Linked DNA regions of Rattus norvegicus. The protein of the gene in region 6 interacts with the protein of the main gene of each other region in a biochemical or structural test. Links are inferred from orthologs where the notes say so. Each region holds a gene or a part of one and is shown on either strand. Other genes may lie near its edges.

The links.
Region 1: the proteins of Ywhaq (region 6) and Prkd1 form a complex in vitro, tested with the Homo sapiens proteins (2 studies listed by BioGRID). The link is inferred for Rattus norvegicus from reciprocal best matches to the Homo sapiens genes YWHAQ and PRKD1.
Region 2: the proteins of Ywhaq (region 6) and Hdac4 are reported together in a solved structure, tested with the Homo sapiens proteins (2 studies listed by BioGRID, with this or other methods). The link is inferred for Rattus norvegicus from reciprocal best matches to the Homo sapiens genes YWHAQ and HDAC4.
Region 3: the proteins of Ywhaq (region 6) and Cdc25a form a complex in vitro, tested with the Homo sapiens proteins (2 studies listed by BioGRID, with this or other methods). The link is inferred for Rattus norvegicus from reciprocal best matches to the Homo sapiens genes YWHAQ and CDC25A.
Region 4: the proteins of Ywhaq (region 6) and Mark2 form a complex in vitro, tested with the Homo sapiens proteins (2 studies listed by BioGRID, with this or other methods). The link is inferred for Rattus norvegicus from reciprocal best matches to the Homo sapiens genes YWHAQ and MARK2.
Region 5: the proteins of Ywhaq (region 6) and Cdc25b form a complex in vitro, tested with the Homo sapiens proteins (2 studies listed by BioGRID). The link is inferred for Rattus norvegicus from reciprocal best matches to the Homo sapiens genes YWHAQ and CDC25B.

The regions. Positions count from the first base shown.
Region 1 is NC_086024.1:73,771,164-73,775,903, forward strand, and holds the start of Prkd1 (serine/threonine-protein kinase D1), read right to left. Parts: upstream 3,244-4,740; 5' UTR 2,963-3,243; coding exon 2,705-2,962; intron 1-2,704.
Region 2 is NC_086027.1:100,194,325-100,199,122, forward strand, and holds the start of Hdac4 (histone deacetylase 4), read right to left. Parts: upstream 3,314-4,798; 5' UTR 3,236-3,313; exon of another isoform or gene 2,977-3,235; intron 1-2,976. UniProt on the Homo sapiens protein: Responsible for the deacetylation of lysine residues on the N-terminal part of the core histones (H2A, H2B, H3 and H4).
Region 3 is NC_086026.1:118,741,710-118,746,470, forward strand, and holds the start of Cdc25a (M-phase inducer phosphatase 1), read left to right. Parts: upstream 1-1,338; 5' UTR 1,339-1,581; coding exon 1,582-1,751; intron 1,752-2,040; exon of another isoform or gene 2,041-2,128; intron 2,129-2,730; coding exon 2,731-2,807; intron 2,808-3,805; coding exon 3,806-3,848; intron 3,849-4,749; coding exon 4,750-4,761. UniProt on the Homo sapiens protein: Tyrosine protein phosphatase which functions as a dosage-dependent inducer of mitotic progression. Directly dephosphorylates CDK1 and stimulates its kinase activity. Also dephosphorylates CDK2 in complex with cyclin-E, in vitro.
Region 4 is NC_086019.1:213,951,724-213,956,543, forward strand, and holds the start of Mark2 (serine/threonine-protein kinase MARK2), read right to left. Parts: upstream 3,427-4,820; 5' UTR 3,030-3,426; coding exon 2,976-3,029; intron 1-2,975. UniProt on the Homo sapiens protein: Serine/threonine-protein kinase. Involved in cell polarity and microtubule dynamics regulation. Phosphorylates CRTC2/TORC2, DCX, HDAC7, KIF13B, MAP2, MAP4 and RAB11FIP2. Phosphorylates the microtubule-associated protein MAPT/TAU.
Region 5 is NC_086021.1:138,866,208-138,870,482, reverse strand, and holds the end of Cdc25b (M-phase inducer phosphatase 2), read right to left. Parts: coding exon 4,222-4,275; intron 4,136-4,221; coding exon 3,962-4,135; intron 3,756-3,961; coding exon 3,663-3,755; intron 3,232-3,662; coding exon 3,169-3,231; intron 3,008-3,168; coding exon 2,909-3,007; intron 2,723-2,908; coding exon 2,589-2,722; intron 1,797-2,588; coding exon 1,685-1,796; intron 1,531-1,684; coding exon 1,390-1,530; 3' UTR 196-1,389; downstream 1-195. UniProt on the Homo sapiens protein: Tyrosine protein phosphatase which functions as a dosage-dependent inducer of mitotic progression. Directly dephosphorylates CDK1 and stimulates its kinase activity.
Region 6 is NC_086024.1:46,667,085-46,671,359, forward strand, and holds part of Ywhaq (14-3-3 protein theta), read right to left. Parts: intron 2,328-4,275; coding exon 2,164-2,327; intron 1,458-2,163; coding exon 1,362-1,457; intron 1-1,361. UniProt on the Homo sapiens protein: Adapter protein implicated in the regulation of a large spectrum of both general and specialized signaling pathways. Binds to a large number of partners, usually by recognition of a phosphoserine or phosphothreonine motif.

The DNA.
Region 1 (4,740 bases), about 27 Mb from region 6:
TGTTAGTTTTTAGGGGCTCTTGAGCACAGACAAGATAAAAAGCCCCCTAATACTGAAACAATAAATAGAAGGACTATAAAAATCAAGAGAACCTTCTTCTTAAAAACCTGTATGTATAGATCTCTCTCTCTCTCTCTCTCTCTCTCTCTCTCTCTGTCTCTCTCTCTCTCTCTCTCTCTTTCCCACCCACCCCCATCATTCTTCCTCACAGTTGTTATCTTCTTGAAGCTTAAGAGAAACCATGAGACAAAGGACAAAAGCCCCCTCCCACTTCCTTACCTCTATACTAGCAAGCTACCCACTCTTGCTGTCACAGCACAAGAATTCTGTCTTGGCAAATAACATATGCCAAAAATCGATACAGAAGATCCATAGATAACAAACAAATGGTGCATAGGTAGAGAGATAACAGATAGGTGATTGATAGTTACATGATTGACACAGACAGCTGGAGAGATGATAGATGATGAAGACAGATACAGATAATAGGTTATTGATATCTACATCGATAGATGAGAGAATAACTGAAGAGGCACACTGTTTAGACCCATAACTTAGTATTTTTACTTATAATATCATGTATTATAAAATTCACATTTCAAAATTTCTAACCTTGCCAGACCCATTTAAAAAAAGGCTATGGTTATCCCAGGAAAAGTTTTCAAACTTTTCTTTTGGTGAAAAGCTACAAAATAAACACAATAAAGAAAGGATTCCCCTTAGAAAGCGCCAGCAAGACTGGTGCCCTTCTCTTTCCAGCATTCCTCCAGCTCTCCCCAAGTCTTGGCTCAGATATAAACAGCACTTGACTGTACTCCAGTTTTCTTTCTGCCATTACATTTTTGCCATTCTAAAACACCCTCCACAAAGCTAATGTGGATCTCAGATACGCCCGGTCTGGTTATCTCTTTTGAAAAGATTACTGAGTTTTTTACAATGTAAGTTTCTAATCATCTCAAGACTTTTCTCATAAGTGAACCTTCCCTACATCTCCTACTGAGGAAGTTCCAGCCTGCTGCACCTGTATGTCCTCTTGCTTACACTTCTCCTGGGTGCTGATAACACTCCCCAGATAGCAGCCCCCTGAGTCAAGTGAAATTCACTCTTCTTCAAAAGCCCAACCCAAACCTCTTGAATCGTATTTCACCATTCACAACTTCAAGGACAGAAAGACAGACAGACACACAGACACACCGTGGGGGGGGGGGGCAGGAAGGCAGAGACAAAGAGAGAGTTTAAGCAGGTCAAAACAAAGTTTGTCCTCATTAATCTAGCCCATTGGGACATTCTAACACTATACCATCTTCTTTAGAACGTCCTGTTAAATTGTTATGGAACTGAATGGGCTTTGTGAATGATTTTATTACATGTGTTGTGTATGCCTGTGTGGCAGTGCTTTATAATCAATCAATCCATTTCATAACAGAAACATTTGAAAGCTATATAGTGAGGCCGTCAGAGCCTAGAATGCTTGCATGTTCACCATCTCCAGGAAGAGGGAGGACTGAATTCAGTACTTCAAGGGAGCTACAAAGAGTTCAATTACATAAGGAAAAAAATCACTCCCTTTAATTAACCAAACTTCAAGGCACTCACTGTTACTTGAGTCTGGCCTCTAGAATTTTCACTTCCTGGTTAGTGAGTGCTTCCCAGGAGCAATTCCCTAGAACTCTGTGCTCAAAAAGTGTAGGACACTTTGTTCCAAACAGTTTAAGATGGTGACTATTCATTAAAAGGTGAGAAGTAGCCAGTCAGCCCTCCAAGGTTGAAATTCAGCACCTTTAACCCTCTCCTCTATCTCTCTCTCCTCCCCCAGAGCCCTGGCTGTCCACACTGGGAAGGAGTGGCACATGCAAGGGTCCTCCACCTTACATGAAGCATCCTTCTGGATGGCTGTGGAGATAACCTAACTTCAAAAGTGGAATTCATCATTGGAAACAATGGTGGGTGGCCAAGCCCAGCCTTATGAGCCTTTCTCCAACCAGTCTTTGATGACCGCTATCCAGAATCGCATCGCCTCAAACTTAAGGGCAAAGCCAGCACTGGATGTTCTTGGAACTACAGACCCTCTCACTACTCCAGTCTCCCAAGATCAGTGGATGGAAATTTAAGCACAAAATGCTGTAAATTTCAGGTTTTATTGTTGGAAAATGTCTCTTAGCTCCAACAGAGGTGGTACTAAATCCAGGGAGGACTTGGGTAGTGTGCACCAACTGCTCAGTTGTTTTCACAGCTGGCTTAATCAATCACCCTTTCTTAAAAGCACTATTGGCAGGTGAGAAATCCCTGGCGTCCAGGTCACACCCGGAACTCCGCAGCATCAATTAGAGCTGAAAGAGGATGGAGTGGAAGGGAGCGGTGCTGAAAAAGCGAAGGGCTGTCCCAAGGGAACTCTGGTGCTGGGAAGTGGATCTGACACCAGGTAGGCTCTGGTCCAGAGAAAGGAGTCGGGACAGCCAGGAAATCTCAAAAATATGCTGGAGCGCAAGGAGAAAAGTGTAAGATTCCTTGAACTGTCACCGGAGGAAGGGAGGTAAAGGTGAGAAGGCAGACATGCCAGCGAAGAAGGGCTGGAGGTCAGTCCCGGGAGGACTGCGCGGCCCGGAGAGCAGTGCCTGGGGTAAGAGCATGCAACCCGGCCACAACCAGGCTGTACGGCGCGGGCGAGGCCGGCTGCAAAGTTGGCGGACCCGGGGCACCTTACCTTCTGGTCCACGATGGAGCAAGCCATCTCCCGGACATGCGCCAGGCTGTAGTCGCCAGAGGAGTCCTGAAGGAGCAGCACCGGCTCGCGGCTCAGGCCGATCTGCAGATGGAACGAGATGCCCCCCGCCGGGGCGGCCCCAGGCGCTGGGAAGGGCGCGGGCCCGGAGCCCGGGACCAGCGCAGCAGCGGCGGCGGCCACAGCGGCCGCGGCGGGCAGCAGCGGGCTAGGCGGCCGTAGTAGCGGAGGGGCGCTCATGGCGCGAGTGAGCCCCAAAGTTTGGCGGAGGTGGGGCGCGGCGCCGCTGCCTGCGGCGGCCGAAAACAACCACCAAACTTTCCGGGAAAGTCCGCGCGCGGGGACAGGGCGCGCGGCCCGGGCTGGCGAGGGCGGGAGCGGCGAAGATGGCCGAGCGGAGTCGGGGCCGGTGGACGGGCAGACTGGCGGGCGAGCGGGCGGGCACGCGGCAGCGCGTGGGAGGCGCCCAGCTACTGCCGCCGCCGCGCGCTCCGCTCCGGGGACCGCGGCGGGTCGGCGCGGTCGGCGCCGGCGGGGCGGGGCGGGGCGAGGGCGGCGCCGCGGAGCCGAGGAGGGGAACGGGAGCCCAGCGGGGAGCCGCCCCCTGTGCGCAGCAGCCGCCCCAACCCACTCGGCGGACACTAGCGCCGCGGACCCGCCCATTTAGGGCAGTCCTGGCCACCCCTTCCAAAGGATCCTACAGGAGTAGACCCGGGAATGCCAGCCCGGCAGAGCCCACTTAACAGGGGACTCCCTCTGGGAGCCCTCGAGTTTGTTAAAGGGTAGGCGCCCAGTCAGCTGACTTCTTTAAACCCTTGTCTCTCTAGTAATAGTCTGTACCCTTTCCATCAACCCCACCTGCTCCACCCACCGCCTTCTTAAGGGCAGGCAAGAGCAAGGTCTGAATAGGGTTCTTGCTTTCTACTTTGTTTTGTGTTTGGAACTTCTGTGTTTCAGCCTCTTCAAAACTGTCAATCTAAACCTGACTTTCTAGGAGTGATTCCTGCCCCACATCCACAGCACTAATTTTGATCTGATTATACTGGTGGCTGAGCAAAAAGAGGTTCTTCGGAGAACTTAGGCCTTATTATATTTCTGTCTTTGTTTCGGGGTCGGTTCTTTGAGTTTGTAGATGTACAGGAGCCCTATTTGCTTTAACAAGCTGCAATGAAAAGCATCAGAAACCTTCTGAGAATTCTGAAGATCTTGGCAGCCCTACTTCTCACTTCAGCTTCCCCAATGTTTCCTCTTACATGCACAAGCACAAAACAATTTTTGCATGTTTTCTTTGCAGTGTGTTAATTTTGTTCTGGTTTGTTTGTTTGTCTTGTCTTGACTAATGGTTCATTGAAATGTGGTTTTCTACAGGGTTGTGTCTTATGTCAGTGATGGAATCTTAAAATTCACAACTACATATAGTCATTCACTATTCTAGAAAACTCTCTAGATTGGTGGTACAAAGTACTGCTTGGGTAGACAGGATAAGGGTGCTGTTCCTAAGTTTACAGAGTACTTTAAAGCACCTAGTTTTACCTAAGAGTGGCCAGAGTGGGAGACATCTGTGTTTTCTAGCTATCCTAGCTCTGAAAGGAGGACTGCTGTCCCAGAGTCTGCTGGCACTAGCCATCCACTTATGAAGTTTGACTATGTTCTTGCCATAACAGATTACATTGAAAATAGAAAAGTAAGACAGTAAATAAAGTTAGTTCTCATAGCAACAATTGCCCTAATTAACAGTGTAACACTGTGTTGCCCTAATTATCAGTATGGTTGACAAACAGCAGTAACCATGATCAAGAACATGAGGCTAAGTACTGTGGCCAGTAAAGAACACAGATCTTTCCTACGGTGTTTCCATTTGAGCCAAGGCCTGATTGATGGAAAGGACTAGTCTTAAGACAAGCTTAGGTAATGGCCTTCTAGTCATATGAAGAGAAAAGACCCCAAGAGAGGATCAACTACACCTGCTGTCCTGAAGGCACGAAAGAAATGAGGCTGGCAGGCAGATAGAAACCAGT
Region 2 (4,798 bases), on a different chromosome or scaffold from region 6:
CAGCCTTTGGGACTCAAGGCTGCCATTCCTCTCACACATCCCTGCTATCAAGGGTGCGTAGCATCACCCATTTCTCGAAGCTATGGGAAGCAATAGAAGAAAGCTAGATGGAAAATACTCAAAAGAATGGCCCATGGCCCTTAGTGGGCACTCCTTTAAACACCTGCTACTGATCCGTGTGATCTCCCTGATCAGAGAAGACACTCTGCTCTTCCTACTCAGGAGCCTACAGTGTCCTGACCTGGTTCAGTTACTTCTCAGTGGAGGCCGTCTGTGTGGACCCCGTCTGGCCTTCCAGGAGGCATGTCAGAGAGGCAAGGGTGGCAGCAAAGCAAAGAGCAGCTGCAGATGGCAGTCCACATTCCGCCCAAAACAAAGCCCATCCTGCTCACTCACCTGAGCCCAAGAGCAAACAACTGACCTCCTGACAGACCGCTCAGGGAGTTGTGCAGGAATGGACTAGGATCTGTTCAAATGCGACAGCGCTTCTGACTCTGCCCCTCAGTCATTTGAACCTCGAAGGTCAGTGTCACACTTAATGCCCAGAGGTGGATGAACAGCAGGACACAAGATGGTCACTGGAGATCAAAACAAAGCCATTCCCAAAAATCTCCTTGGGACCCCTCCCCAAGGCTGGGTTTCAACCAATGGGACATGAGCTCAACTCTGGATTCAGCCTGCTCAGTCACCCCAGGGCCCAGAGACATCAAAAACCCTGGTCTTGGGCCTGAGCCCCACCCCCAATCTCCCTGTGCAGCAGGTGTCTCTCATTTCTGCATCTCCCTGGTTCCCCACGTCAGGTATTAATGTATTACTTATGGTAGCTTCAGAGTTCTGAAAAACCAGCCGTTTTCAATAGAAAATGGCATGGACGAGGCTCGACAGGAGTGATGAAATTTTCTTCTGCTCTGGCAATTAGGACGGCACAAAGTCTCCTTTCCTTTGGTGCCACCCCCAACATCAAAGGATTGGAATTCAAAGCCATTCATGCTGCATTGAAACCTCACAATGAGGCTGGAAAATGGAAGTCGATTACTGGGCAAAAATATGCAGTAGTTAAAAGGAAAGGGTTATAACGAAATTAAGCTGCAGCAGCCCCACGATGTGTGGAAACTTCCAGCACCAGAGCTCTTCTGGTAAACATCAAGAGGGGCATCATCCTAACACAGCTTCGAAACCAAAGTCAAGCTAGGTGCCAGGAGCCCCGTGAAGAGTGCCATGTTCTCTTGCCACCTCGCACAGCAGCAGCCCCTGACTTCTGCAAAGGTGCCACCTGGGGGCTTTATATGCTGCCCAGCTCCCTGACGCTGCTAACCACAGAATGTTCTTGCTAGGGCTGCTTTGGTCACATCTGTCCTTGGTCCCTAGGCTTTCCAGGCCTCTCTGCAGTCCACAGTCATTCTCTCCCCCTCAGGGCTCTCAGATACCCGGTAAGCAGCCGGCAGACCCCTAAAGGGGGCAGTGTTACCTCGGCCTTCTAGCAAACCCAGCCTCTTCTGGGTGATTACTGCTCTTCAGGAAGGCATTTGATCTTTAAAAGAAAAGCCAGAACACAGAAAGCCATAGAAGTCTTACAGTGTGTCGGGTGTGTGTTTTTAAAGCATGAAAATACTTCCCTCCCACACAAACGGGGAGTTCTTCTGGGGAAAGATGCCACAGATCCCGAGGAGTGGCAGATCTGGGAAAGCGAATGGGTCTTAAAAATAGACAATTGAACCTAGACTAGAGCTGCAGAAGCTACCTGGGGAAAAATGAGAATTTTTAACTAAATCTCGCATATTTTTTTGATATCCAAAACTCCATTCTGATGAAACTTCTAACTGGGTGGCATTTTGCATTTCCAATTATAATGGAGTAATTGTGTTGCCATAGAGACTGCAAAATTCTGCAATAACTTTTGCTGCCTTGTAACTGCTATAGTGTATATTTGTGTAGAAGCAGCTGAGTTTTCTTAATTCAACCTCCTTGCCTCTCACAAGCGTTCTACCACCACCACCACCACCACCACCACCACCACCACCACCACCACCACCACCACCACCACCACCACCACCTTCTTTCTGGATGGATTTTGAAACCACCACACTAGCTTTCATCAAGCCGGTCCTGAAATAATGCACGGAATTATCAGAAGCAATTAAAACTCCTGGCAACCTCGATCATATCACGGAGGAAAAACCGAAACCAGGTCAAGGTGCAAGCCGCCAGCATCCCCCTAGCCCCAAAGTGCGACAGGGCCATGGCTGTTTACACGTTAATACTCCGCAGGCCTTAAATGCTTAGGTGGTTTGTGGGAACAGGCAGAAACGCCTGAGCAGAGAAAAGCAGGGAGGCAAAGTGACTACACAGGCCTTTCCTTCCTCCCCGAGCAGGCAGAGTGGCTCTCGGAAAGCAATTAGGTAGGTCTCTACAGTAATGCAATTAGGATTTAGTTAAGAAAGTCATTAGTTCTAAAATAACTTAAGTTTAATTTCTGCGACGCTTTATTTGAAAATCGTGTCACAGCAGGTCAATTTACAGCATGCAATAACCAAAACACTGCTATCAGCGGCTGCAAGTTATTAACAAATTCTCCGTGTGCATTAAAGGAGAACACGGGTTCCACACCCGGCCTTTCCGACCGACTCCGGCGGTGTGGGCTACAGCCGTGCCTTCGGAACGCTCGCTCAGGGTGGACACCGGGTCGTCTCCCGGGCTAGCGCAGCTTCTCGCCAGCCCAACGACCGTCCGGGCCCAGCCGCGGCCCCCGCCCCGCCGCCCGCCGCCGCCGAGGGGCGTTTTCTGCAAACTCACAGGCTGACAAAGTTACATAAACGCCCCGGCCCCCGCCCCCGCGCGCCCACCTGCCCGCCCGCCGGCGCAGGCCGCTCTCCCGCCCGCCAGCCCGCGGCGCAGGGCCCCGAGGCCTCGGCGGGGCCGGGCGTCCACCTGCCGCCAGCAACCGGGCGGCGCGGACAATGACGGCCGGTGGCTTACCGCGGCGGCGGCGGGCCGCGTCTAGCCCTGCTCGGGCGCTCCGAGCCGCATCTCCTCAGCCTGCGCCGCCGCCGGCGGGCGGGCGGGCTCGGGCGGCGACGGCGACAGCAGTCGCGTTGAGCGGGCCGGGCGTGAGGCGGCGCGGCGACGGCGGCGGCGCGAGCAGGCGCGCGGGCTCGGGCTCGGGCGGCGGCGGGGATGGTGCTCCGCGGCAGCGGCCCCACAACCTCCCCTCCTCATTCACAAAAAATTGACCCACGTTGAACCATGATGCTGCTCCCCCTCGAGCGCAGAGCCGCGCGGGGATAGGCCGCGCCCTACGCCCGTCAGGCGCTCCAACCCCGCCCCTCCCGCCGTCGGCCCACCAGCCATTGGCTGCAACGGCTTTGCGTCACCTCCCCCCGTGGGCCCCGCCCCCTGCCTGGTTTCTAATGAAGAAAGCGTCAATTACGGCTCGGCCCCGCCTCCAAGAATTCAGTTGCTCTTCCATTGGTCCGAGAGTCCTAAGTCCGCCCTACAATAGCCCAACAGCCACCCCCGCTTCGCGGGCGCTGCAAAGGGGCTCCGCCTTCGATCGGCCTCTCTCAAAAGTTACAAACCCCATTGGCTCCCGGCCTTGTCAATACTAGTGAGCGGGGCGTACCGAGGACTCTCCAGGCGCTAGCTCTGAGAGCTTCGCTGTGGAGAAAGAGCAGGGAGCTGGTGCACGTACTGACTGATGCTGTTGACAGACCTCCTCGGCAGCCCGCGGCGCTGCCCGGGTCAATATAGTGTGCCTGAGTTCATGTCTCATGCTCTAAGGGGGCGCGCAAGAGCGCAGACTGTGACGGGGGCCCGGTCAGGCCTGGCTGCAACCTCCATCTTGGGCAAGGCACAGGTCACGTGGGCTGCGTGCGGGGGACGCCGAGCCCAGAGGGAGTGCGCAGGCGCGGCGGGCCCCGCCCTGCCCCGGGGCAGGCGCGCCGCTTGGGGGTGCGGCTGTGACTATGGGCCCTTGCGTGGCCGTGGGAACTGGGAATTCAGGGACCGTTGCTGTGGCGGAGGTGTAGGCTTTGGGTCGCCGCCACCGCGTCCCGGTTTGCTGAGACCCACCCCTTCTTTGCTGGGGTTCTTCTAGACCTGGGTCAAGCACCTATAAGTGGCGTACCCGGGTGTGGATGGGCATGAAAGATCATGCTTCTGACGCCCCTGGGTCCATTACCTTTCATCAGGAGAGTAGTGCAATTTCTCATCCTGTGTGCATGGTATTTCCAGAATCTCACATCTAGAACGAAGGAGAGAGCATCTGGTCCACCCTACATGGTCTGACTGTCCTAGGATGCTGGCCTGTCTACTAGGCCTTGACTTGTAGGAATTGAATAGAGACCGAATAGTATTTTTTGATCCGTGACTGGGGGATAATTGAAGGTATGTGGATGAAAACAATTCGCAAAATGCAATAGATTCTTTTCATTATCTCAGGGTAATAGTGAACTAGAGAGCTTCGTTCATTGGGAGAAATTCAGACGCTAGGATAGCTCAGCTGCGAAGCCAAGGGATGAATTGTGGAATCAAAAAGAGTAGAAGAAAATGACCGCACTTAGGAGTGCCAGTGCAGCTGCTTATAGAAAAGTACACTACCAAATTTACATACAAAATAATGCAGGATCTGCAGCCTGCTAACATTTAGATGAAACATGAAGTTCAGAAGTACTTGAAAGGATAAAGATGTGCAATAATCAGAGATTTGATGAATACTGAGTAAATACGAAGTAAGTACTGATGAATACGAACCTGAACAAAAGTTACATGAGGAAGTTCTGGAATATACTCTTAGATGCAG
Region 3 (4,761 bases), on a different chromosome or scaffold from region 6:
TATTTTTGTGATGTAAGACTGGTAAGGATTAAGCAATTATCACACTTGAAACACTGTCATGTACATAAACACTATGTGCTACTTAGTACTTTTATGGTGATTTGAATGAGAATGGCTCCCATAGGCTCATATGGTTGAACGTTTGATCCCCACTTGATAGGACTGTTTGGGAGAGATTTTAGAGTAGGCACGGCCTTGTTGGAACAGGTGTGTTGATGGGAGTGGGTTTTGAATTCTTAAAAACCCAAACCAGGCCCAGTTCTCTTCTCTTCTCTCCTCTCCTCTCCTCTCCTCTCCTCTCCTCTCCTCTCCTCTCCTCTCCTCTCCCCTCCCCTCCCCTCCCCTCCCCTCCCCTCCCCTCCCCTCCCCTCCCCTCCCCTCCCCTCCCCTCCCCTCTCCTCTCTCTTCTGTCTGCCTGCTATCTGTGGATCATGATGATGTAAAGCTCTCAACTACTACTCCTGTTTCAGCCTGGGCTATAGAAGAAATTCTATTTCAAAAATTAATTTAATTTAATCAGAGCCTGGAACAGGAATGGTGGCACATGCCTTTAATTTCAGCACTCAAGAGACAGGGGCAGATGGATCTCTGAGTTCAAAGCTAGGGCTATACAGAGAAACCCTGTCTCAAAAAAGAAAAAAGAAAGAAAGAAATTCAAAATCAGAGCCTGAAGGACTGTGAAGGAAAAGAGGGATCCACGGTACTGTACTACACAGAGGAAGAACCAAAGCCAAGTCCAGATGGCCTTCCCTAGTCTCTATGTCTCCTAAAAGTGCACACAGCACTAGGCTCAGCAGCTCAGACTAGGTGTGTGACCGGCCTAGCACACTCTATGGGAACTACACTACCCAGCATGCAACTGGAAAGGAGCGAGATAGGGGGGGCCTTTTGGTCCGGACTAGCGCCCTCACAGGGAGTTTCATTGACTTCTCTGCTCCTTTCTCATTTCTGCCACCTCCCAACTCTTCAGGCCTCGCCCCCATGGAGAGAGGGAGTGACCACGAGGAGGCCCGCGAGATGCTTCCTCCTTTCCTTCTCATTGGTCCAGCTCAGCTGTCATTCGGGAGCGAGGAGAAGTATGCTTCCTGATTGGTGAGTTCCGTTTGGCGCCAACTAGGGAAGGGGCGGGGCGGCGGCTATCCTGAGTGTGCAGCAATTAACGCTAAGGCCACTTTGGTGGTGAGGGAAGTGGAGGTTCCTTTCCTCTGTGCCGGGTACCGAACGAAGAGGAAGGAAAAAGTGAGGAGAGTTAGTCCGGTCGGTGGCCTCAAGACTCTGGCTCCGCGGAGTTTGTTTGGATTTAATCTTGAGGTTGCAGGCGCCCGCCCGCCTACGGGCCTCGCGGGACACAGAGAGAGAAGCACCGGTGCTTGTGCCTGGCGCCTGCCGAGTCCCCGACGCTCGCCCGTCCGCGCCGCTGCCCGTGGCGGCCGCGTCTCTGAACCGCGGGGTCGTGTTTGTGTTTGACCCGCGGGCGCTGGCGGCGTGGCACGCGGCTGAAGCCGGTGCCAGCGGGGCGGGGCCCGGCGCAGCGGAGGCGGAGGAAGACGGAGCGGGAGTCCGGGCAGGCCCGGCGGCGCCATGGAACTGGGCCCGGAGCCCCCCCACCGCCGCCGCCTGCTCTTCACTTGCAGCCCCACTCCTGCGCCGCAGCCCACGGGGAAGGTGCTGTTTGGCGCGTCAGCTGCTGGCGGACTGTCCCCTGTCACCAACCTGACGGTCACCATGGACCAGCTGGAAGGGCTGGGCAGGTGAGAGACTGGCGAGCGATGCCCCAGGCCGCTGGCCTCTGGTCGGCCCTCGGGATGACCTAGCAGGAAGCAGAGTCTGTCCCCCTGGTTCTGGTGCCCGGATCCGGGATGGCCTGGCCAGGGCCCGCCATGTGCACCCTCCCCCCGGGCGGAATGTTGGGCGGGAGAGGCCGTTCGGATAGTCCAGGGCTATCCTCAGCCCGAGCCAGACCGGAGGTCAGGGAAGCCTGCTGGGCATCCTGTCTTGTTCACCCCTTTCAGATTTCAATCTACTCTGTCTCTATTCCAGAAAAGTCTTTGGAATCTACCCTTACGGGGGGAAAATGGCCTTCACTACCACTCTTTGCTGAACCACCCGCGTCGGATCTTAGTTTCCTGTAAGCTTTGTTCCTTCTCAACAAAGGGACATGGCATTTTCTTTTCTTGCATTTGTGCAAAATCTATGCAGCCGCTTGGCCCGCACGTTTCTTATATCTACCCATCTACCTTTTTACAGCTATCACTTTTTAAACTAACTTTTCTACATTGGAAATCTTGGTGGACTTAGTAGCTCTACACCACTACCACTAACAAAAATGCTTTTAGAGAAGTTGCTTTTCCTTCGGTGTTGGGCATCTGGCCTCCTAAACGTGCCTTTCGACTTTTCCAAACCCTGAAAAGCTGGGACTCCTGGCCTAGTCACCTTTGCCCTTATTCCTAGCATGGTACCTCAGACTGAGGCTCTCATTTAAGGAAACAACCCAGCCTTTGCCACAGGCATGTCTTACAATGTGGTCCAAGGCCAAGCCACTCACTCCTTTCTTTGTTTAAATGCCAACTGGGGTATTCTGGGTGGCCAAGTGTGAGTGTGGGGTGTCCTTGGCTTGGTCTCTCAAGATGGTTTGTGGCAGCCTGGCTACTTCATAACCCATCTCCTGTATGTGTCCTTTTAGTCAAATACTAAAAATAGCTCATGTGGAGGTATTTCTCTTGGTTTCAGTGACTATGAGAAACCAATGGACGTGAGAAATAGCAGCAGTCTACAGAGAATGGGCTCCTCTGAATCGACTGATTCAGGTATTGTCATTACTTATGTGTATGTATGTGCTCATGTGTGTAGGTAGGTGTTTAGATCGAAAGGCATCAGAGCTCTGAGGCTGGAGTTACAGGACATTGTGAGCTGCCTGATATGGTTGCTGGGAACTGAATTTGTCCCCTCTATAGGAGCACCAAGTGCTATTAACCACTGAGCCCCTTATTTTTAAAAGTTTAATTAAATCTATTTATTTTGAGACAGGGCCTCACCATGTAGATCACATTGGCCTCTTGCCTCTTGAGTGCTGTGGTTAAAGGCATGGGCCACCATCCCCCTGACCAATCCAGGCATTTGTTCAGCCTTCACCATTCATTCATCTGGAGTCAGCCATTCTGGAAGTGTCTTGCCTAGGAATTTAATTGGTAACAGTATACATAGAAATTATGATGTGGAGTGACAAACACCCTTCCTTCAGAGGGAAGGAGGGAGCTCCTGAGACAGTTTATGGAGAGAAAAGAGTGCGGAGTCTTCCATGTCTTTAAGTGTGTGCTTTTCTATGTGTGGATGTTGGCTTGCATGCTTCTCCTGTGTGCACACGGTGTGTACTTTCCTTGAAGGCCAGGAGAGGGTGTCATTTGCTGGAGCCGAGTTAACGGGCATTAGCCTGTGTGGTTGCTGGGAATTGAACTCAGGTCCTCTATGAGAGAGCAGTTGTGCTCTTCTGAACCATCTTTCCAAGACTGTTTTTTTTTAAGATACAATTTCACAGTATACACCAGATGGGCCTCTTGGAACTGAACTTAGCTGGTTGTATTTTTCATACCCCTAAGTGAAGTATATTTGGGGGGGGGGAGCTCCACAAAAAGATTTAGGGGTCAATACTATCTGAAAAGTCAATCTTGATACTAGCTGGCCTCTTCAATCTTGTTTCTCTGATGGTATTTGCAAACAGAAGAGGGTCCATGGACATACTAAGAAAATGTTGCTTAACACCAGAATGTATATTATTTTCTAAGAATTTTGTTTTTATTTCTCAAAGGTTTCTGTCTAGATTCTCCTGGGCCCTTGGACAGTAAAGAAAAGTATGTATTCACTACTTTAAATTTTTCTACTTAGTAGGAAAGTTTTCCTTACGTCAGCCTAGTGGCACAGGCCTGTAGTCTCAGCTACTCAGGAAGTCAAGGCAAAAGGATCAAAAACTCAAGGCCTGTCTTGGCAATTTAGTAAAACCCTGTCTCAAAATAAAAAGTGCAAACTTGGCAATAGAGCGCTTGTGTGGTGTGTGAGGCCCTAGACAGGGTGAATCCCTAGAACCTCAAAAGAAAAGACAAGAGAAACTTGAGGGTTGGTTTTTGATTGGAATCTTATTACAAAGCCCTGGCTTGCATGGAACTAGAAGTCTGCCCGCCTCCTGGTGCTGGGTTAACGGTATGTGTTATCACTCATGGTCAAAACTTGACTTTTGAATGAAGTTCTTCACAGTGGACTAGAGCTCTGCAGTTAGCTGTTTGTAGTGAATTGTTGGGTGCTGGAAACACTGCTGGCAATGAATGTTGCTTCAGGTCAGCAGTTGGCAGGATTTCCCCTCCTGTGGTTTAGCTGTCATTTCCCCAGCTCTACTTTTTGACACTTAAATGAATGGATGTGTGTATTTTAGGAGACATCACGGGGTTTTTTGGTTTTGTTTTATTTTTGTTTTATTTTCAATGGAGGGTGCTCCTGAGACCAGGAAACACTATTCTTGCCTATGCTACAATGAGAACCTGACATGCCTCTCCTCCCCCTACTATAGGTTGAGCAGTATGAATCTGCTCATATAAAATATCTCTTGGGGTTGGGGATTTAGCTCAGTGGTAGAGCGCTTGCCTAGGAAGCGCAAGGCCCTGGGTTCGGTCCCCAGCTCCGAAAAAAAGAACCAAAAAAAATAAATAAATAAAATATCTCTTTATTCTTATATTTATTTACCTTTTGATCTCATTACAGCCTTGAAATTTC
Region 4 (4,820 bases), on a different chromosome or scaffold from region 6:
GAGCTTGGCTTTCTTTTATCTACTTTCACTGTTAAAAGCAGAGTTGACAGCAAACAGGCAATCTTCTGCAACATAAGGTTTATTTTTATGCTTCAACATGTTCTGTGTGTATTTCAGAAGTGATCAAAGAGCTCCTAGAAACAGCTTCTCAGCCACAATTTTAAAGAGGGAGAAAAGGCACAGGAAGAGACTGAAAACATCCACGGAAGTTTGCTTACTTATTCTCTGGTAAAACCAGTTTAAGTAATTTAAATCTAAATAAGGTGACAGTGGAGAGGGACCTGCCCAGCCAAATTCTTTGCTCTTTATTTCCTAACACTGAGGTGACAGCAATGGCCTGAGCTCCCACAATGGTTTACTATTTGCAAAGGGACTGAGGAGAAGGTATTCGGTTTCACCTAGTAAAGAAGGTGAATGCTGAGGACTCTTGGTTTTTTTAAAATTTTTCTAAAGCATACAGGTTTGGCCTGGGGAATATAGAGCACTTGTCTATCAAGAGCAAATTTTAGCAGCACAAGAAACAAAAAGAGACAGCAAGGCACCTGTAATAGGTGTGCATCGAGCTTTTCCAAGTCCAAGTTTTTTCAAAGGAGGCTGTGGAACATGAAGTTGGCAGTGTGAGTGGAGAATCAGGGACTGACTCCATACAGCTCAGTTCGTGAGGAATAGCAATAAGCCAAAAAGGAGCGGAGTGACAAGGCAGCTTCTGCTCTGGACTAAGTTATCACAGAGCAGCTCATGTGCCAAACTGGCCACTGATTACCACTCTCCTGAAATCAGTGCACATGCGCCAAACCTCACCTCCATGATCCAACACTGTGTGAAGCACATCGGAGCACACAAACCAATAATGCATTTGCGCTTAATAAACAGCACAAAAAACCATACTGAGGCCACTCTCTCTGCCCAACACAATGCCCCCACAGCCTCTCTAGGGAACAGGCAGGTCAACCACTCCCCAAATGCCTGAAGGTGCCAGTCAGTCACTTGGCCTCCTTCCCCCTGCTCATAATCAAGTCTAGGAAAGTTCTCCAGTTAATCGAAGTCTAGCTACTGAAAGAAAGGTAGGAGAAAAGGGTACGTACAGAACAGCCTCAAAAGAGCTGGACAAAGTGTTTCCCAGAAGAGATACAGCTGGCAAGCAAGGGACTGTGCAACACAGACCAAGCTCCTCAATTTCCAAAGATCTCTGTCCCAGGCAGGCCTAGCTTCCTGGTGGCATGCCAGACCCAGGCATGAAATAAATCAACCATCCCTCCCTCTCAACTCCCTGCTCTGCCCCAACAGCAAACAGTCCATAGGTATTATAGGTCCACGGTGACAGAAACTCCGTCCTGATACCTCCTTAGTTCCCAAGTGCCCAGGTACAGACAGCAAGAGAGGAACAAAGCAGAAAAGTACAGGAAAGGAAAAAGGGATGAAGAGGGCTTTACAAAGAAGGAAGTCGATGCTAAGCAAACACAGCAGCAGCACTAGCCTACCTGGCTACAAAGAAAGCAGGGAACAAGAGGGAAACACAAAGGGTGCTGATGCGCTAAGTATGCCCCCTTCCAACATGTCTGTGTTTAGTAAAATTCACCCAGAAACATGTGACAGGCAAGGGACTGTCCAAAAGGCAGGGAGCAAGGGACACTAGAGACAGTGAGACAAAAGAGACAAGTGTAAAGAGGACGACAGAGAAGAGGCACAAGCTTGGGTGACAAAAAGCAGTGGTTGCCAGGATGAAAGGGAGAGCACAAGGCCCAGCTGCTGACCCACAGCACAAGCAGTTAGCATCCACCCTGGGAATGGCAAAGGCTAGCCAACGGAAAGGGAAGGGACAGAGCATACAAGGTGTAAACAGACAGTGAGAGGAATAGGAGACCCATCAGGACAGGAAAGGCAGCACTGATTACGGAGTCATAGTATGAAAGAGGAGGAAGGTTGAGCAATAGGAAGTAGCAAACAAGGAGGAAGATACTATGATACTATGAGAAGTGACAGACACCGGTTTGGAAAGACAGTATCCGAATTTGTGTTGCAGTGTAAGTAGGCAGTAAAGCAGGGACTGATGCAGCTGATGCAGCCGGCAAAAGACTGAGCAACAGGTTACGTTAATACAGCCAGGCTAAAACACCGTCTTTCCCACGGTAGAGGGAGAACCCAGGGACAATCTGGAAGAGCATTCAAACACAGACAGAAAGCCTAGGGACTCAAATGCCAAACCCCAAGGGGAAGAGAGCAGGAGCGATGCAAAGCCTCTGAAGGGAGCGGTGACTGGAACCCCAAAGGCAACCTGTGGGAAAACTATGCGCATGACAGCTGTATGGGAAACACGGAAGCGACACATGCCAGTGCCAGGAGCCTGGGAGCTCCTGCTGAAAAGAAGGGAAAGTGATGAGCAAAGAGTAGGCGAACGATTTGGAAAGGTGACGAGGGTGGAGCTGGTGGGTTGCAAGCAACAAGGAGAGCTCAATTTGGAACAGAAAAGGAGGATAGAAAAAGCTGGAGAAGTGAAAGGGCATAGGGACCGAGAACACACTCCGAGACACGGACTCTTGTGGGAGAAAACCGAGGACTGAGAGCCGGTGCGGGTAGAGGGGGTACAAAGCTAGAGATGCAGAAAGAGGTGGGCAACAATCCGCGGCAAATCGAGGAGCAGGAAGGTGGCTGCTTTAAGCGTGGGTGGAGGAAGACCAGAAAGGCCCCTGAGAGAAAAGGGAAGAGAAGGAAGCTGGGGAGATAGCACGGAAGAGCGCAGGAGGGCGGTGAGAGGCGAGGGGCGTTTGGCAGAGATACAAGTGTGCAGCTCAGTCAGGACAAGGTGGGTCCCAGGTCTGGACTCGGAAGAGGGATGTGCAGGGCTGGAATCCGGGGCCAGATGACAGTCTAGGCTTGCAGAAGAAAGCAGGAACACGAGGAGAGCAGAGGGAGGGAGCCTTCGTAAGGTGCAATGGCCCAGCCACAGAATTAGGGGAGCCCCGAGGGCTCCTTACCTGCTCCGTGTCCCTTTCGTTCAGCGTGGGTAGGGGGGTCCGAGCGCTGGACATGGCGCCGGTATCTCAGGGGAGGGAACGGAGAAGCTTGGAGGAAGGGAGGAAAGGGAAGGCTAGGAGCCCGGCCGGGCGGGGCTTCTCACAGCAGGAGCACCCGCTGCATGGGCCCCGGCCGGGGGTGCGGGGAGGCCGGGCGATGGCTCACGCCAGCCCGGTGATGCGCCGCTCGGGCTAGGCCTCGCCGGCTCCGAGCGGCTCCGGACCGCACCCCCCCGACCCCCGGCTGGGTTGTGCCGCCTTTCGGCCCGGCCGCGCCGCTCCGCCTACTCTCAACCGCCGCAGCCGGCCGCCTGCCTCGCTCCTCCCCTGCCCTCAGCCGCACTGCTCCGCGCCCGACACACAGGCAGCCGCTGCCGGACCTGCTGCTCCCAACATGGCCGCCACCACCGCCAGCCCTCGGCTCTTTCCGCCGGCAAGAGCCGGAAACATCCGAAACAACTAGGAACGGGAGGGGGAAGAGCCTTTTCCTCTCAGCCCAGACTATGGGTGAATTCCGGAAACTACCGAAGAAGGTAATCCCCGGGGACGCGCGCACCTCCTAGATTCCGAAGACCAAGCTTCGGCACTGTTTACGGAAATCCACGAAGATCCTCTCCGCACCTCCACAGCCAACCAGCAGCCACGCCTACCAGCTTTTCTCCGCCCACTTGGAGCAGGCTTTCGGTAGTTTCCGGAAACAGCCGAAGAGGCTCCGCGTGTGCAAAGCCGGCCACGCCCCCGTTCCGTCGCTCAGCCGGGAGCGGTAGTCAGCCATTTCCGGCAACACCCGAGAACTGCCGAGGTTAAGAGTATATCTCTTCGTTTCTTTCCGTCAGTTTTCGTTTATTTTCTTTCTTTTTTTTTTTTTTTTTTGGTTCTTTTTTTTTTCGGAGCTGGGGACCGAACCCAGGGCCTTGCGCTTCCTAGGTAAGCGCTCTACCACTGAGCTAAATCCCCAGCCCCTCGTTTATTTTCAAACCTTGAACAGGCGTGGGTCACCTGTACCTGTTGTTTGATTTAGAAAATACAGCTATGGGTTGGGGATTTAGCTCAGTGGTAGAGCGCTTGCCTAGCAAGCGCAAGGCCCTGGGTTCGGTCCCCAGCTCCGAAAAAAAAAAAAAAGAAATTACAGCTATTAGCTGTTCCTACAACTGGTGTCCTTTGAACCTAACGCCAACTTCCCATCCGCATGTTTGTATGTTAGCTCATAAAATCCACCTTATCACTCAACCTTTCTATCAACATGTGAGTCAATGTAGTGTCACCCTATTGCCCCGTCTCCTGCTTTGCACACCTGCCCATCTTCCAGACTATCTTGGCTTTTAGATATCCACCCGACAGTCTCATACTGACTGAGTCCCCTCATTCCTCTGCAAGGCCTGGGACAGGCACCAGGTCAGCGTCTTTGAAACTTAACAGTTGTAGATAGGCACAAACCTCTAGGATATAGCTTAGTTTTGAGAAAAATGCTTGTGTGATCTTGGGGGCATGTAATCACATAACAAAGGCCAGCAAAATAACTCAGTTTGATCCTTGGGGACCCACATAGTAAAAGGAGAGAACCAAGTCTAAAACATTGTTCCATGAGCATGCTAACCTATACGCTAAATTAAAATGTAATTAAAATAGATTTTTACAAGTTGGAAAGATGGTTCAGAAATCAAGAGGGAAGACTGGTTGCTCTCTCAACCAATCCAGGTTATTACCCAGTATCCATATGGTGGTTAACAACTGTCTAACTACAGTTCCAGGTGATATGACACCTTCTTCTGGCTTCCACTAGATTGCACAGATCACATACAGGCT
Region 5 (4,275 bases), on a different chromosome or scaffold from region 6:
GAGCTACATAGGAAGAGGACCCTTTCCTCTATTTCAAAAAAACCAGAGAGCAGGGAAAACTTGAGAAGAGAGCATGAGGTATAAGGTCCCTCTCCTCCAGAGAGTCTTTCTACCTCCACTGGTCTGTCTTCACCCCCATCCTACCATCCAGTCTGCTATGGCCTGGTCAGCAGCTCCGCATAAACGAACAGATTATTCAACTTGCTCAGTGCTTTATTGAACCAAGGCCCCAACAGAGGATGCATTGGGGGCCTTCCAGCATGACCTTTTCATATGTAGATTCTGAACCCAAAAGTTGCTTCTTCCTCCCTCCCCTATGACAATATTTCTTTAATATTTCCAAATGCTAAGTGTAAAGACTTTGTACACACACACACACACACACACACACACACACACACACACACACACTCCTGCCATAGGCCATCATGCTTACCAAAATACTTCACTCGATTTGTGTGCATACATGTGTACAAGGCACTGTGCATCCATGACCATCCAACAAAGGGCCTAGACTCTGTCACTAGTACAGCAACACGGAAAAACCATGCATACTCAGGACCAGATATGGAAAGAAGGACAGAGAGGGACAGGGAGGGACAGAGAAGGACCAAAAAGTGAAGCTCAGTGACTGGTTCATTGCCCAGCAACAAGTGCTGACCAGCGAGGCTCTAGGGTTCACAGCAGTGAGGATGGGGCTCCCAGAGGCTCCTGAATCAGGCCTTTGCTCTAGCTCTGGGGGTCTTAAAGGAAAAGATCCCTTTGTGGGCTAACAAAAGCCAAGCCTAATGAGTACATGATATTTGAATCTCTAGTCCCCAGCTGTACAAGGGAGCCTCCCCAGCTGTCAGTGTGTCCTGGGACACGCTAAGTGAGACAGACGAAAATGAAAGCTATGGGTAAGACGACAACAGGAAAAGTAAGCACTTATGCTTCCAATGGAGGAATCTGTGCAGAGGCCAGGAGAGGAGAGCAGACACAGCCCTGTGCAGCAGTGTAGCGTCCTGCATCCAGGCTACCCAAGAAGCTACTGTGCTCATCTTAAAGGGCTGAGGCTCTCCCTGCGAAGGGGTAAGACAAGGAGTCAACACAAACAAGGAAAAAGGAGATTGTAAAAGGGCTCTCATTGAACACAAAGGACTTCCTCTTAGCTGGTATTCACCCATTGGTTCAGCTCTTTAAGATGGGATCAGTACCAAGATACAGAAAATTAGTGGAGTGAGACAGGAAAATTGAGGACAGGGACAGACAGATGTGACACCACACCATCCCCCCAACCCCCTATAGCACCTGAGGCCTCTAGCAAGTAGGTGGCCGCATAGGCCCATGGGACCCACTGGCTCGCAAGCCTCCTGAGGTAAGGATGGTGGCAGGACTGAGGCTGGCTCGTCACTGGTCTTGCAGCCTGCTACAGAGTTCCCTCCTGCTCCGTTCCCCAGCCCAGCTGCGTGTCTTGAGGCGGAAGTTCCTCAGCTCATCCCGGAAAGCTGCATGGTTCATGGGTCGGTAGTCCTGGGGCTCACAAAAGTTCTAGGGGATGAGAAGATGAGAAGAGTCCATCAGTATGGGAGAAAGAGTAAGTTCTGGGGGCTGGGGGTGGGGGTATGGGTAGGGCCTATAGCCTAGTTGGGTCCTGTTCCTACAGTCCACGATGGGAGAGCTGTGACCATCCCACCCATGGTACCGGATGCTGCGGGAAGAACTCCTTGTAGCCGCCTTTGAGGATGTACATCTCAGGGTAGTACAGGCTGGGATAGTCGTTAGCTGCACGGTCCCGTTCCCTGATGAAGCGGCACCTGGAGTATCATGGGAGGTGGTTCAGGGCAGGTCGCATGCCGGAAAGAGACCATGCCCTGTACACACTGCATTAAGAGCCCCCACGTGCACAGACTTCTCAGCACAGGCATGTCACCTGCTAGGCAAGACTGGTTACTAGGTAGCAGACACTGGGTACAGCAACATAGAAAAACCACATATACTCCAGGGTCTCCTGGATCAGAGGTGGTAAGGACTCAAGGGAAGATGGGAAGGGAGGATCGGAAAGATCAAAAAAGTGAAGCTCCGTGACTGGTCCATTGCCCAGCAAGAATCATATGAGAAAACTGGAACCCTGTGCTAGAGGGGTGAAGTTCGTGTATAGGGAATGGGAAGGAGATTCTGGTCCGCTGAGACAGATGCTAACAGCTGCCAGGTGGAGCTGGTGGCCACCCTGGACCAGGAGGCAGAAGAATAACCATGAACACCGGGACAGAGGAAAGACGGCTGAAGGAAAGCAATGGACCCCAGTGGTCGTCAGCACAGTAGCAGGGTTCCAAGTGCTTGAGTGTCACAGTATCCTCAGATTTTAAGGATGCTACTGTACTTGGCACTACGTTTTGTGGGTATGCAGCAACGGACCGAAGACGGTCTGATGATGTGGGTGGAAGGAAGACAATGGTAAGATACGTCGTCTACAACAGGAGAGCTGAGGTCAGCTCTAAACTATCACATGCAGCAAGATGCTCTGGCACTCAGTACCAGGCAAAGAAAGCCGAGGGTGGGCCCCGGCTGGCCACTGACCACAAGGATGGGACAGAGCTAGGACTCACATCCGTGGTCCACGCTCAGATGAGAATTCACAGTGGAAAATGAGGATGATTCTCTTGTCCAGGTTACAAGGCGTGATGGGATGCTTCAGCAGAAAGGTCTCGGCATCCGGTTCCAGGGGCAAGTTCACAGCATTCTGTCAGAGGATCTGGGGGTCAAGCTGAAGCCTGCACCATGGCCCTTCTTGTTCAGTTCCCAGGTAAGTAACCCCACCTCTTGCTGAGCAGAAATCCTCCCCATAGGAAATTCACCATGGAAGGCTATTCATCTTCTCGGCAAGGAATCTGAATGGAGGGCCTGGCCTTACCAGCACCCGTCTCACCTTGATATGCCCGCCTTCATACTCATAGGGGTATCTGCAGTCCACAATTACAAACTTCTCCACGATGTTGCTGAACTTGCCTGTCAACAGGGCCACCATCTGTAGGAGGCCATCAGGGTTGGTGCCAGCAGGTGAGACTGTAGTCAAGGTTTTCCCTCTCTCTTCCGATAGTCTATACATGCAGCCCATCCCCAGAGGAAGACAAGAGCCAAGAGAAGGTGGTCCCCAATGCACCTGGAGAGTGGCTCAACCCTGCTTACAGTTTCTGGTGAGATGTACTTGAGGTCTTGGTGTTTGCCATCCACAGTCTGCAGGAGGAAGGCCTGAAGGGAGGGATGAGGCAGAGTCAGGGAAACACATTGAGACACAGAGACTGGAAGGACAGAGGCAACACCGGCCTCAGCCTTCAGATTCAGCTGAGTGAAACCTCTGGGGGCCTGCACCCAGGGAACAACCTTCTGAGGGTAAAAGAGGAAGGAAAAGCCCTAGACCTTCTTGCTTCCTGCTCTTGGGTTTGAAAGCCGAAGGCTGAGGCAGGAGATTGCATACCAGAGATTGATTTGGAAATGTTTTTCGAGGATGAGATGCCTGGACAGATTTGAGGTGGCATCGGAAGGGGACCCAGAGGGAAGAGTCTGCATGAGAACAAGAATGAAAAGACACAGAGGGAAGGGGGGACCTCTGGGGACAGATGGGTCCTGCATTAGGGCTCCAGAGCGGGTGAAAGAAGCCTCCTGAAGCCCTAGAATGCTACCTTAGAGTAATCTCCAATCAGGCCACGGTGGTCACTGTCCAGGATGCTCTCAATCTCGTGACACAGGGACTTTGAGCGGAAGACCCGGGCCTTCTGGAAAGTAAGGCAGACGGAGGCCAGGGTGAGGGAAGAGACTGCCTCTCAGTGCTGTTTGGTTGAGACCTCCTTCCCCTGCCACCTAAACAACCAGCTGCACACTACCCACTGCTGCACCTTTGCCCAGGAGAGGACACCCAGAGCATCTGCAGCCCAAACACACCCCAGGTGAGCAGCCCAGCCCCCCAGAGGGCGGAACTAACGGGTTCTTCAAGCTGCTGCTCTTCCAGGGGTGTCCCACTCTTCCTGCGCTTGCTCAGGACAGGCACGTCCCTGTCGTGGGGCCGCTCTAGCCTCTTGAGGATGGGCCGGATCACACTGCACGGCATGGATGGAGAGCGGAAAAGCCGCTGGCACTTGCTGAACATGATGAGATCCTGGCAAAGGTAACATGGCAGGAGTCAGAGCCTGGTCCCTCCACCCCATGTCCCCTTAGCTCCGAGGGGGCACTACTGGGCATCACCTGTTCCTCTTCCTTATCCAGCTTTTTGACCAGTGGAGCACTAATGAGGTTCTC
Region 6 (4,275 bases):
TTAACTGAGGCAATGCCTCCATCAGATTAGCCTGTAGGCATGTCTTTGGGGCATTTCTTGACTCGTGATTGGCCTGGGAGGACCTAGCTTCAGCATGGGAAGTGTCACTCCTGAGCATGTGCTTCTGAGTAATAAAAGGAAGAAGGCTGAGCACGTCATGGAAACAAGCCAGTAAAAGCAGCACTCCTCCATGGCCCCTGCTTCAGTTCCTGCTCTGACTACCCTCTTCTTCTGAGACAGGGTTTCTCTGTGTAGTCCTGGCTATCTCGGAACTCATTTTATAGACCAGGCTGACCTCAATCAAACTCAGAGATCTTCTTGCCTCTGTCTCCTAAGTGCTGAAATGAAAGGTGTGCACCACCACCGCCTAGCTCCTGACTTCCCTCTACGGTGGAGTATAAATCAATTCTGAAAAAACTGTAATAAATTCTTCTCTTCCCAATGCTTTTCAGTCATCATGTTTCCACAGTGCAATAGACTACAAACAAGAAAACCCTCTATCAAGTGTCCAAAAACAACTTAATTTTTTAAACCTTTGTAGGCACAGGCATGCTGCCTGAATACTGTGTATGTACAGTGTCCATGGGCCAGAAAGAGGGTGTTGGATCCCTTAGGACTGGAGTTTGTCCATTGTGAACCACTATGTGGGCACTGAGACTCAAACCTAGGTCCTCTGAGAGAGCAATCGATGTTCCTAACCACTCAATCATCTCTAGCCCTCCCACGTAAACTTTTGGTAAAATAAGGAGATTCTAACACATACAGAATCCCTAATTTGTTATTCCTAATTTACTCAAAGAAAGGAAATATTAGAATTATACAAGCTCTCTACATTAACTGTTATTGTGTTCAACTAAGTCAAATAGCAATGATAACACTGTGTTCCTATAACTTTCATAGAAAGGTTTGATAAAATACCTCTTCACCATGAAGACACTTCTCCAAATTTTGTAAGAGACTATGGAGCTCTAGTTATACAGTATTAGTGCACACCTTTAACCCCAGCACTTGGGAGGCAGAGCAAGCTGGTCTCTGTGAGTTTGAAGCCAGCCTGGTCCACAGAGTGAGTTCCTGGACAGCCAAGGCTACACAAGAGAAAACCTTGGGAGTTGGGGATTTAGCTCAGCGGTAGAGTGCTTGCCTAGCGAGCACAAGGCCCTGGGTTCGGTCCCCAGCTCCGAAAAAAAGAAAAAAGGGAAAAAAAAAAAAAAAAAAAAAAAAAAGAGAGAGAGAGAAAACCTTGTCCCCAAAATAACAACAAAGAGGCTATAGCTTTTCTATACCTGCTTCCAAAAGGCATGAACATCAAAATGAAGTTACTGTTGTTTCTGAAAACAGACATACAACACGGAATAGCTTACTGTTAAGTTGTCTCTAAGCAACTGCATGATGAGGGTGCTGTCTTTGTAGGAGTCTTCATTCAGTGTATCAAGCTCGGCGATGGCTTCATCAAAAGCCTGGTAAAGTTAAACAGCGAGTAATATAGTCAATTCAGGAACAGAAGCTAGCCAGTCTGCAAATACAACCCTGTGTACCACCACATTATGGTAACACTAGGGAAGTAGTCCCTTGGAGATCTAGTTTAAGATTTTGTGAAGGTTCTTCCTTCAGGTTCCTCCCATTTGGGAGAGTTCTGGCCTCACCCTTCCTTACTAAAGCAATACTTGCTCTGCTTCTTAAAAAAAAATAAAATAAAATAAAATAAAGAGAATTACTATATCGTGAAACTCACTCTAAGTATTTACATAAACACTTGTTGGTTCTTTCACAAGATACACAGTATATTAACAACACTTACATATTCTTACAAGAGCTAATGTAGTTACACTGCCCTTCTAAGACACCAGGGGAGGGTGATACAGGCTTCTACTGCCCAAACTTGGCAGGCACTCCTTTCCAGCATTTGATGTTTCCTGCCTAAAGTTATTTTTACTTCTTTTACTACTTTGCCCTCTAGGCTTTTCAGTCAGACATTACTATTTAGAATCACAGTGAGAGAACTATTTAGGGGCTGGGAGGTAGGTATGGGGAAGAGACACTAATGAAGAAACTGTGTCTAACACACATAAAAATGGCCTCCCTTGAGCACCCAAATACCTAAAAGTTAATGTACTTAGTTTCTTAAACACCCTTATAAAGAGGCATGAACTCAACAGATCTCACCGTTTTAGCCAGTGTGCAGGCAAGCTCGGGATTATTAAGGATCTCATAGTAAAATACAGAAAAGTTAAGAGCCAGCCCCAGGCGGATCGGATGTGTAGGTTGCATCTCTTTCTTGCTTATATCAAATGCCTCTTGGTAGGCTCCTTGGGAATTTTCTATCGTTTCTGTGAGTTGAAAGGGGGAAAAAAGTTAAGAACAACAGCAAAAGTATCTATCCAATATATAGCATGCTAACAACTTTAATATATAGGTATCTGGCTATTCTGAATCACCATAGCTCCACTGTATTTAAATAAAACTATGGAGACCACAAAGACAGTGGATAAAGAAAGGTGCTTGCCACCAAGCTTGACAACACAAGTTCAATCTTTGGAACCCACATGGTAAAAGATATCCTCTCATCTCCATGTATGTGCTATGGCATTTAGGCACACACATACTTTAAAAAAAAAAAAAAAGTCAGAGAAAGGGGCTGAGAAGCTGTGGCAGGACAAGATGGCAGAAAGGAAGTTGTTCCACATTTTTCTACACTGGAGATTACCCCCAAGTATGATGTAGTCCTCCTGCCTCTGCTGCACAGGTGCATAGCACCACGTCCAAATAGAGGTGTGTGTCAGAACTCAGGCGTTCTGGCACAGACGGGCGAATCCACTGATGGACACACAGCATAACAACTAAGGGGAGTGGAGGCAACTGGCCTAATTACGACAGGAGCCTACCTAGCAGCTGACTGAGGCAGATGCACATACCCACAGACAAACATTGGATGGAGGTTGGGGATCCCTATGGAAGAGTTAGGGGAAGGATTGAAGGCTCTCAAGGAGATTGCAACCCCACAGGAAGACTAACAGTGTCAGCTAACCTGAACTTCTGAGAACTCCCAGAGACTGAGCCACCAACCAAAGAGCATACATGGGCTGGTCCAATTCCCTGGCACATATGTAGCAGAGGGCTACCTTGTCTGGCCTCAGGGGGAAAGGATGCACCTAATCCTGCAGAGACTTGATGCACTAGGGTGGGAGATATGGGGCAGAGGTGCCCTCTCGGAGGTAAAGGAGTGGACGGAAGAGGGAGGAACTCTGTGAAGGGGTTGGAGGGCATCATTTGGGAGATAGATAGATAGATAGATAGATAGATAGATAGATAGATAGATAGATAGATAGAGAGAGAGAGAGAGATAGACGTGTGTGTGTGTGTGTGTGTGTGTGTGTGTGTGTGTGTGTGTGTGTGTGTGTGTGTGTGCACAATCTGTATTTAGGTGCCTGTGAGGCCTTAGGTCAGGAATGGGATCCTCTGAAGCTGGAGTTATAGACAGACAGTTGTGAATCACCTAATGTAGGTCTTGGGAACCAAATTCTGGTCCTCTTCAAGAACATCAATTTAGAATCAAACATTTGGTTGAGGGATGGCTCAGTGGGAAAAGGTGATCACTACCACTCCTGACAGAGTGAGTCCCTGGGGGACCACATGTTGGAAGGAGAGAATGGGCAGGTTGTTCTCTGATTTGCACACACACACACACACACACACACACACACACACATACACGCACGCACGCACACGCACGCGCACACGCACGCGCACATACACACACACATATAATAAATAAATAAATGTATAAAAGAAAAAACAAAGTAAATGTCCTATATGAAGCCCTGCTTTCAAGCTCTAAGCACACATACCCTATACCATCCTATTTCTATGTTCTACATATAATTTTATAAGAAATATAGAAGTGTTACGTAAGGAATTCTAGAGCTATAATTATAACAAACTCCCAAAGCATGAAAGATTAAGGCTGCTTGTAATATCAAAGTATAATTAGAGTTCACCCATGAGCCCAATTTTGTTGAAGATATATAAATTGGACCTTTCTCTTTGAGGCAGGGTTTCACTATGTAGTCGGGGTTGTTCTGAAAAACAATCCTCCTGCTCCAGCCTCCTAGGTGCTGCTTATTTTCATTTTCAGGAACAAAAAGTTACATTCAATTCTCTTGATATAAAATACTTATTTCAGACAGGGTCTCTCTTCATAGCCCTAGCTGTCATAAATCTCAACATGTAGACCAGGCTGGCCTTGAATTCAGAGATCCAACTCCCTCTGCCTCCCAA